3 linked regions of the Saccharomyces cerevisiae S288C genome follow. The gene in region 2 interacts genetically with the main gene of each other region. Each region holds a gene or a part of one and is shown on either strand. Other genes may lie near its edges. The genes, in order: CTK3, MTH1 and SNF3.

Evidence for each region.
Region 1: mutations in MTH1 (region 2) and CTK3 together harm fitness more than expected from each alone (negative genetic interaction), as found in Saccharomyces cerevisiae (2 studies listed by BioGRID).
Region 3: of MTH1 (region 2) and SNF3, a mutation in one rescues a mutant of the other (synthetic rescue), as found in Saccharomyces cerevisiae (3 studies listed by BioGRID, with this or other methods).

The regions. Positions count from the first base shown.
Region 1 is NC_001145.3:43,164-46,507, forward strand, and holds CTK3 (Ctk3p), read left to right. Parts: upstream 1-1,899; coding exon 1,900-2,790; downstream 2,791-3,344. Other genes in the region: TAF8 (Taf8p), read right to left, coding at 1-412; DAT1 (Dat1p), read left to right, coding at 882-1,628. UniProt on the Saccharomyces cerevisiae protein: Gamma subunit of the CTDK-I complex, which hyperphosphorylates the C-terminal heptapeptide repeat domain (CTD) of the largest RNA polymerase II subunit.
Region 2 is NC_001136.10:1,013,923-1,017,683, reverse strand, and holds MTH1 (Mth1p), read left to right. Parts: upstream 1-1,981; coding exon 1,982-3,283; downstream 3,284-3,761.
Region 3 is NC_001136.10:109,948-113,708, forward strand, and holds the start of SNF3 (glucose sensor), read left to right. Parts: upstream 1-1,632; coding exon 1,633-3,761. Other genes in the region: SEC31 (Sec31p), read left to right, coding at 1-1,082.

The sequences.
Region 1 (3,344 bases), on a different chromosome or scaffold from region 2:
CAAGAGACGACCAGCTCATCAATTTTTCATATTCCGTGGAATGCTTCGATTTGATGAATTCTGAGGCCTGAAACTGCTGATAAAGGGAGGGCGCATCCAGGTTAAACTCTCGAAGCAACAATTTCAAATCTGCTTGAGAAGCTTGCGACCTTCTTTGTAAAAGTGTTAAATTGTGCAGGTTCCGAAACATGCCGTCCATTTGGACGGTCACGAGGTTGACCAGCTCATCCAATGCAAAGTTTGAAATGCAGATGTTCAACGAATTCAACTGGAAAAGTACTGTTTTCTTTAGAATTTCAACTACGGGAGCATCTATTTCCAAGTGACTAATTTCCGTCAAATCCGGTAGGTTCCTCAGCTGAACTATGGTACTTTGGGTACCGGTACCACTTTCTGACGTTTTGGAAGTCATTGCCCTTTATGAGTCCCTCAATTACACGTTTGTTTGCTTGCTTGCCTCTCTCTCCATTGCTTTTACTCTCTTTTTTAAAGAGTTCAAGATTTTCTACATAAAAGCATCGGGTAACACTCCCATATACACCATTTGTGCTTAAGCTGGCTTCTACCAGTCGCGTTTCAAGCGACTTTATTGATCGCATCAGCGTAGAACAAGAACAGAACTATGTATGCAAACAGGACTAATCATCTTCAGTTATCTTACTTTAGTTTGCAACTATTTATATCATGTTTTCTTTTCAACTTCTTTTTTTTTTTTTCGTTTATGAAGCCGATGCTAATGCATCAATTTTTTTTTTTTGGTGATGAGTTTTGAAAGAAAATGAAAAAAAAAAAATTTCTATTATTGTCAGTGGAGTTTTTGAACAGATCACCTTGTGAATCTACAAACTGTCCTAAAGTATATTGGAGCAGGACATTGGGTGATGGCGAAAACTTTGGCACAAGGAAGGAAACCTGGAAGCGGCAGAAAGCCCGGAAAAGGGAAGACGTTGAGAGAGGGAAGAAAGCCTGGCAGTGGTAGGAGGAGGAGGCAAGATACTGGGGGTAAAGAGACCGACGGGTCTCAGCAAGATCAGGAGTCGCGTCTTATTAGTTCCAGGGACATGGAAGCTGTGGACGCACTGAGAGAGTTGACGCACAGCCCGTCGTCTCACTCAGCTCATAATTCATCAGCAGCACCACCGCCGCATGCAGCAGCGGCGTCAACTTCATTGCCTCCATCTCTGGATTATACCCATCAGTCATTCATGGATCAACAACAACAACAGCAGCAGCAGCAGCAGCAACAACTACTACAGCAACAGAGAGTGGACGTCGTTCCGCCCAAGCCGTTCATCACCCACAAGATCCTGTTATCTTCAACGGGAAACTCTGGCGGCCACGTGAATTCAAATTACAACGCCGACCACAGCATTAATCATAATTCAAACCACAACCTTAACAGCAACGTGAACGTGAACATGAACTTTACTATAAATGGGAGCAATCAAGACCCGTCATCTTCTTTCCTGATGGGGCCCTACAACTACTTACAGCGGCCTTTCATTGTGAAACCATATCTTGATCTGTCCACAAGCACAGCAGCATCAAATCAGCCACGGACGCAACCATCGCCGGCAGCACATATCACTAAGAATTCCGATTCTACAGAGAAAAACGCAACCATATGACATTCATTTCCAGCATACCACTAAAACATTCGTATATGCCACATAATAACTAGTTGAGAAAACCATAGATATTTATATTTATATGTATTTGTACTTCTTTGAGCAATGTATATTTAAGACTGATCTCAACTTCAGCAACTGTTCAAATTCACTGTTTTTCCTAATTAAGCACAACATGAAAAACTAGAATTTTAGAAAGAAAAGGAAAAAGAATACCAGATGGTAGTTAATTTCTCACAAAAGCACTGCCAGGTAAAGGTATACAGCAAGGATGGACTCTCTTGAAGCTAGATTACAATTCATTCAGGTCCTGAAGAACCTGCAAAAGACGCTGCACAAGACCAGAGACTCTATCACATCATCGTCGACCACCACACCACCGTCATCGCAACAAAAGCTGAACAATGACCCTATACAGTTCTACTTGAGAAACTACAGACATCACTACGAGGACTTCCACCAATGTTTGTTCGATACAACCATGAAGATGGACCCACTAGATAGACTGGACGTAGTGATATACTATGTTAGAATAATAAGAAACTTATATCCGCATAGCCATTCCAATACCAATGTTACAAAAGTGTTAAACGAAGTGCTACTCATGGACATAGACTTGGTTTTTGAGCTTTGTCTGCCCTGCCAGGACTGGAAATCCCTCACGAATCAAGCCACCTGTAAAGAGCTATTCCTTGACTTATCCAAACTAATCCATTACGACGCCACCAGCGTCACGCACACACCATCAGACACCACACTCATAGACGCTACTACCTGGTACAGTGTCAAGACAGAGAGGACTACAAAGGACTATAAAGAATCATTGCAACGAACGGAGTCTCTGCTTAAGGACAGAGACTTGAAGAAATTGGCTTTCTTTCAGCAGTTCAATTCCGATACAACTGCGATCAACCCGGACTTACAGACGCAGCCAACCAATGCAAACATTTTGTTGCACAGGATGGAAGCAGACAGGGAACTGCACAAGAGGTCGAAAGAGACAAGTTGGTACATCGAAAGGCCCTCCAACGATATACTGGATGAATCCGAATTTAAAAGCTTGTGGACGCATTTTGAAACTACTGATTCCGGATTTGATAAGGACGATTACAAAAATATCAAGGCTTTAAATGACATTGCGAAGGCATCTTACATATATTAGTACCATGACGTTATATATATATCTGTGAAGAGAATCCGTATCTGTATTATATATACGTATATACGTATCAATGCGCGTACAAAATGAACTTGTCTTTTTCTTATCTCGATTTCAGGAAAAGCAAACTATTCAAGGTGAAACGGCGGCTAATTTTCCTCTAAGTTACTTTTATTGTAGTCCTCAACATGTGCAGACGAATAAACTTAACACGGTTTGCAGAGTGTGTTGTTGAGTATAAAACAGTCAATTTCTGTGGACCTGGCCGTAGCCTATTGCTGAAAACACACAAAAGAGGAGTTTGACGAGACTTAAAACAAGCCAAGGAAAATACCATGTTAGACTACTCCCTTCATTCGATGGTTTTACGCCGCATTTCTACACAAATGAATTTACATTCGGGCTGATATGGTTGCTACATAAGCGAATTTAAAATTTGAGAAGGTTCATTGTTGCCTTGTGGTTCGAGCTTAAAGATCATAAAGAACCGCGGGGAATTTGTCTAGTTACAAGCTGGAAAGGACTGAGCAGAGGAAGAGCATTCGTTCACAGAGAGG
Region 2 (3,761 bases):
ATAACACCAGTTTTCATATTACTAATACATTATCATACATGATGCAAAAATACTTTATAAACGGCGAAAAACATTTATCAAATTTAACAGAATCTGAAAATGCAGAGACTGATAATTAATAAAATAAAAACGGTGATTTTTTAAATGAAAGAGGGAATAATGATATCATTATGTGGAATGATCTGCTCCTTTTTGTATTTCCAACAATTTCAGTAAAGTCGTATCTTTCCTACCTAATAATATTGCCATAACAAATAATTTAGCCCCTAAATAGTCATAAGAGAACTCATTGAGAGTCAAAGAAAATCATATTCCCTAACAGAACCTTGATTTGCGACCGAATAATTGGCTTTCTTCATTACATAATGAACGTTTCTTTTAGGTCAAACTATCACCAAGGTACAATCCGATGTAGTGTAACGGCTATCACATCACGTTCTCACCGTGGAGACCGGGGTTCGACTCCCCGCTTCGGAGTTTCTTTTTTATTTTCTAGAAAAATTCACATGCTGATTCATTTACCGTTACTGTTTCACTGTGATGCTACTAGTCATATTCTTCTTATATCAATTTTTTTTCTATTGCTGTTTGCATTACCGCAACATACGATGGGAATAAACAGCACAAGCTGTTGTGTACATTTTTCCTCATCATATAACTACAATGTACATAAGTTAGCTTGAAAAAATTCTAGGTCTCATATTAATGCTTGAAATATGGAAGTATGTCGAATGTTTTATAAATAAGTCGAGAAAAATGGTTATGCTACCAGCTAACTTATATATATATAAGACTCTTTCATTCTTTTCTTTGTCTCTCAAACTTATATTTGTTTACGTTTTGGAGGAAAACTAATTATTTTTTTAATAAAGTAAACATAGCATTTCCAAGGTGCAAACCGATCCCTACCACCAAAATAAGCATACAAGACCGTTACAGCGTTAAGACAAAACTATGCTTCTAGGGGGGGGGGACAAAGCAAGGAAGATTAAAATGAATTCTTCAACTTAGGGGTACTTTAAGAGAAAGAATTCAATACTTGCGTTAGCTGACCACCCCATAGTTCGTTTAGATAAGGATATGGTGTGAAATTCATAGTTGAAGACTCTTGAGGAGGTAGGGAACATCTCTCTTCGCCCACCAAACCCAGTTTTCTCTAATACTCCATATCCAAAAAAGTGTAGCTCTATGTACATTGCCAAGGTTTTCTACTGATCAATATTTGATGGAAAAATATGACATAAGGTATGCGTATTAGTAAACTATTAGGGAGCCGCCGGTACTAATAACATCAAGGCCATCTCACGCCGAGACTTACTTGGACTTTTCTCTATTGTAAAGCGGAAAAAAAGTTATCACCCCGCCCCCTCCTCCGCTCCTCCACTAAAACGATCAGCAAATGGCAGAATAACGCGGTACTAACCAGTTTTTCCGTTCCTTGAAACCCAGTCATACTATGAAGTCCCTAAAATTATTCCGAAATTATTCCCTAGAACAAGCGGGAAAAAGGTCCGGGGAAATGGAGTCCGTGCGAGTTTTGTTAGGATGACTGCCCCACACATTTCCTCATCTTATAATTTTGTGGAAAAATTCATCGTGAGAGAAAATACGAGTCCATTTCTCCAGTGAAACTACCGTAGACATGGAATATCTGCCATTCTACCCCTTATTCAAGTGCCTTTTTTTTTTTTTTTCATCCCACATTTTATTGCTGCCTCAATCTCCATTAAGAAAAAAAATTTATATAACCAAATGACATTTTTCCTTTCTTCTCAAACTTTGTAATGCGCCTGTAACTGCTTCTTTTTTTATTAAAAAACAGCATGGAGTTTTTTAATAACTTAAGGAAACATACAAAAAGATTTGTTCATTTCACTCCAAGTATTTTTTAACGTATATTGAAAGTTCTCAATAGCGAAACCACAAGCAGCAATACAAAGAGAATTTTATTCGAACGCATAGAGTACACACACTCAAAGGAATGTTTGTTTCACCACCACCAGCAACTTCGAAAAACCAAGTTTTACAACGACGTCCATTAGAATCGACTAACAGTAATCATGGGTTTGCAAGCTCCCTACAGGCCATTCCGGAAAACACGATGAGTGGCAGTGATAATGCTTCTTTTCAAAGTTTGCCACTATCAATGAGTAGCTCTCAATCCACGACTTCTTCGAGAAGAGAGAACTTTGTGAATGCTCCTCCGGAGTACACTGATAGAGCTAGAGATGAGATTAAAAAAAGATTATTGGCCTCCTCACCTAGCAGAAGGTCACATCATTCAAGCAGTATGCATTCAGCGAGCAGGAGATCAAGCGTGGCTGAAAGTGGGAGTTTACTTTCGGATAATGCCTCGTCTTATCAATCAAGTATATTTTCTGCCCCCTCTACTGTGCACACGCAACTAACTAATGACTCTTCGTTCTCCGAATTTCCTAACCACAAGTTAATCACGAGAGTGAGCCTGGATGAAGCATTACCCAAAACGTTTTATGACATGTATTCGCCAGATATTCTATTAGCAGACCCATCCAACATTCTCTGTAACGGGCGTCCCAAGTTTACCAAGAGAGAGTTATTGGATTGGGATTTAAACGATATAAGATCGTTATTGATAGTCGAGAAGTTAAGGCCCGAATGGGGTAATCAACTACCGGAAGTAATAACGGTGGGTGATAATATGCCCCAGTTTAGGTTACAATTATTACCACTATATTCTAGCGATGAGACCATAATCGCAACGTTAGTCCATTCGGATCTGTACATGGAGGCTAACTTAGATTATGAATTCAAACTAACCAGCGCCAAATATACAGTAGCGACCGCTAGAAAAAGACATGAGCATATAACTGGTAGAAATGAAGCCGTCATGAATTTGTCGAAACCGGAATGGAGAAATATCATCGAAAATTACCTCTTAAATATAGCAGTAGAGGCACAATGCAGGTTTGATTTCAAACAAAGATGCTCCGAATATAAGAAATGGAAGTTACAACAGTCCAACTTAAAAAGACCGGACATGCCCCCACCAAGCATAATACCGCGGAAAAACAGCACAGAAACAAAATCGCTTCTGAAAAAGGCTTTATTGAAGAACATTCAGTTGAAAAACCCCAATAATAACCTTGATGAATTGATGATGAGATCAAGCGCCGCAACAAATCAACAGGGAAAAAACAAAGTCAGCTTATCTAAAGAAGAAAAGGCTACGATATGGTCGCAATGTCAGGCACAAGTTTACCAAAGATTAGGATTGGATTGGCAGCCGGATTCAGTATCCTGAAGATACTAAAAAGAAACCTTCCCGATGGTTTTTTTGGAGACTCTTCGATTGTATCAATACTATCCCATGGACATCAGTTTTAATAGAGGAGCTCCAAATTCCCAAGGAATTGAGGAAGAAGCGCCAATGATTTATATATACAAACTAGCTGTTGCAGCTTTATAGAGATTTAGTAATAAGAATTTTATGGGAACGTGGTACCGTTATCGCAGTAAAGAGTCAAGGGTAGCGAAGATCAAACCATACGATGACGAAATACCTTTAGTTCTTAGCATCACCAATCGCAGACATCCAACGTATCCGTGCGCGTAATCCTTCTCTTGGTAGTTGAGCACAGCATACAGAAGAAGCCGCGCGCAAGCGGTAAATGTCTTTCCTCCGGCCTTCTAACCACCAAAACCGATCTCGGAACATGGGGGGGGGAAGGTCCTCTGAATCGAAAAACCCGAGACAGCGAGAGGGATTTTGCAGAAAATTA
Region 3 (3,761 bases), 900 kb from region 2:
TCAACCGTAAAGCCAATGATGGTTGGAATGATTTGCCTTTGAAGGTCAAAGAAAAACCATCTCGTGCCAAGGCTGTATCTGTTGCCCCTCCAAATATCCTATCGACACCAACTCCATTAAATGGTATCCCTGCAAATGCTGCTAGTACCATGCCTCCGCCACCTCTTTCCAGAGCTCCCTCTTCTGTGTCAATGGTATCACCACCTCCTCTACACAAAAATTCTAGAGTCCCATCCTTGGTTGCAACTTCTGAGTCACCAAGGGCATCCATATCAAATCCATACGCTCCTCCTCAATCATCACAACAATTCCCAATAGGTACTATTTCTACAGCAAACCAAACGTCAAACACCGCTCAGGTAGCTTCATCGAACCCCTATGCTCCACCACCACAACAAAGAGTAGCAACCCCATTATCTGGAGGCGTGCCTCCAGCTCCGTTGCCAAAGGCCTCTAATCCATATGCTCCAACTGCAACCACTCAACCCAACGGTTCCTCCTATCCTCCAACCGGTCCGTATACTAATAACCATACCATGACCTCTCCTCCTCCCGTTTTTAACAAACCTCCCACTGGCCCCCCTCCGATTAGCATGAAGAAGAGAAGCAACAAGTTAGCTAGTATAGAACAAAACCCATCTCAAGGTGCTACTTATCCTCCAACCCTTTCCAGCTCGGCCTCTCCATTGCAGCCTTCTCAACCGCCAACTTTGGCTTCTCAGGTTAATACCTCCGCTGAGAATGTCAGTCATGAAATTCCAGCTGATCAACAACCCATTGTCGACTTCTTGAAAGAAGAACTGGCTCGCGTAACACCATTGACCCCAAAGGAGTACTCCAAACAATTAAAGGATTGTGATAAACGATTAAAGATTCTTTTCTACCATTTGGAAAAGCAGGATTTATTAACCCAACCAACAATCGATTGTTTACATGACCTCGTCGCATTAATGAAGGAAAAGAAATACAAAGAAGCTATGGTCATCCATGCTAATATCGCTACAAACCATGCTCAAGAGGGTGGTAACTGGCTGACAGGAGTGAAGAGGTTGATTGGCATAGCTGAAGCGACTTTGAATTAATTCAGTCTCAAAACTTTCAGTACAAAAAGTGGCGTATTGGCCTTGTTTTTTTCTTATTATGTCTTATAGTATTATATTTATATATTTATGTACTTATCCTTTTATGTTTAAACCTAATCAAGATCACAATTAGAACTAGCTTAACATTACTTCTCAAAACCAACCAATACCTCTTATATCTTTTTTACAGCCTTTCCCTTATGTTTTTACCATGTACACCTCGAGCGGCAAATCTCCGGGGAAATTTTAAACTTGCCGCATCGCACATTCTAAAGAACAAAAGGAGGAGGAACTGTCAATTATTCTATAATCTGGGGAAATTCAGTCATACTGAGAAAAACTAGACAATAGTCCTATCCTCGGCAAATTGCATTGATAGTACTTACACATCGAGAGATCATAGGACAGATAAGAAGCATTTTATTGAAGAAAAACAGAGAGAGTCACTATAAGTTGACCTCACTATAGAAATTAAAACAGAAAAGTTTTACTGAGGACCTTTTTAAACAGAAGGATATGCCTTTGTTGGCATAGAAAGAAGAATTTATAAATGGATCCTAATAGTAACAGTTCTAGCGAAACATTACGCCAAGAGAAACAGGGTTTCCTAGACAAAGCTCTTCAGAGGGTGAAGGGCATAGCACTGCGACGAAACAATAGTAACAAAGATCATACAACAGATGATACGACAGGTAGCATACGAACCCCTACGAGCTTGCAGCGGCAAAATTCTGACAGGCAATCTAATATGACATCCGTGTTTACGGATGACATTTCTACCATAGACGACAACTCAATTTTATTTTCAGAGCCTCCTCAGAAACAATCTATGATGATGTCTATATGCGTAGGTGTTTTTGTTGCAGTTGGCGGATTTTTATTTGGTTATGATACAGGTCTGATCAACAGTATTACATCTATGAACTATGTGAAGTCACACGTAGCACCTAATCACGATTCATTTACCGCCCAACAAATGTCCATTTTGGTGTCATTTTTGTCATTGGGAACTTTTTTTGGGGCTTTAACTGCACCATTTATATCTGATTCGTATGGCAGGAAGCCTACTATCATTTTCAGTACAATTTTCATCTTCTCTATCGGAAATTCTTTACAGGTAGGTGCTGGAGGAATCACATTATTGATTGTGGGAAGGGTCATTTCAGGTATCGGTATAGGCGCAATTTCAGCGGTTGTTCCATTATACCAAGCAGAAGCTACACATAAATCATTAAGAGGTGCTATTATTTCTACTTACCAATGGGCCATTACCTGGGGCTTGCTCGTGTCAAGTGCAGTGTCGCAAGGGACACACGCAAGAAACGACGCATCTTCGTATCGGATTCCCATAGGGTTGCAATATGTCTGGTCGTCATTTCTCGCTATCGGGATGTTCTTTCTCCCTGAGAGTCCACGCTATTACGTTTTGAAAGACAAGCTAGATGAAGCAGCTAAATCTTTATCGTTTTTAAGAGGTGTACCAGTCCATGATTCTGGGTTACTGGAAGAACTAGTTGAAATAAAGGCAACATATGATTACGAGGCATCTTTTGGTTCTTCGAACTTCATTGATTGTTTTATTTCAAGTAAAAGTAGACCAAAGCAAACTCTAAGGATGTTTACGGGAATTGCCCTTCAAGCATTTCAACAATTTTCAGGTATCAACTTTATATTTTACTACGGTGTCAATTTCTTCAATAAGACAGGAGTCAGTAATAGTTATCTGGTTTCATTTATAACCTATGCTGTTAATGTTGTCTTTAATGTTCCTGGTTTGTTTTTTGTGGAATTTTTTGGTAGACGTAAGGTGCTGGTTGTTGGGGGTGTTATCATGACTATAGCCAACTTTATTGTGGCCATTGTTGGGTGTTCCTTAAAGACTGTAGCGGCCGCAAAAGTTATGATAGCATTTATATGTCTATTCATAGCTGCCTTTTCTGCTACATGGGGTGGTGTTGTTTGGGTTATTTCAGCAGAACTGTACCCATTGGGTGTGAGATCTAAATGTACGGCTATATGCGCTGCTGCTAACTGGCTTGTAAACTTTATTTGTGCTTTAATTACCCCTTATATTGTAGATACTGGGTCGCATACATCATCATTAGGTGCAAAAATATTCTTCATTTGGGGCTCCTTAAATGCGATGGGGGTGATAGTTGTTTACTTGACCGTTTATGAAACGAAGGGTTTGACATTAGAAGAGATTGATGAATTATATATTAAGTCATCCACTGGTGTCGTGTCACCAAAATTTAATAAAGATATTAGGGAACGCGCACTTAAATTCCAATACGATCCTTTGCAAAGATTAGAAGACGGAAAGAACACTTTTGTTGCTAAAAGAAATAATTTTGACGATGAAACACCAAGAAATGATTTTCGAAATACGATATCGGGCGAAATAGATCATAGTCCCAATCAAAAAGAAGTTCATTCTATCCCAGAACGTGTTGATATTCCTACTAGTACAGAAATTCTTGAAAGCCCGAACAAAAGTAGTGGTATGACAGTCCCTGTGTCACCTTCTCTGCAAGACGTTCCAATCCCGCAAACAACAGAGCCTGCTGAAATTCGAACCAAATATGTGGACCTAGGAAATGGGCTTGGTCTTAATACGTATAATAGAGGGCCTCCCTCACTCTCAAGCGACTCAAGCGAAGATTACACAGAAGATGAAAT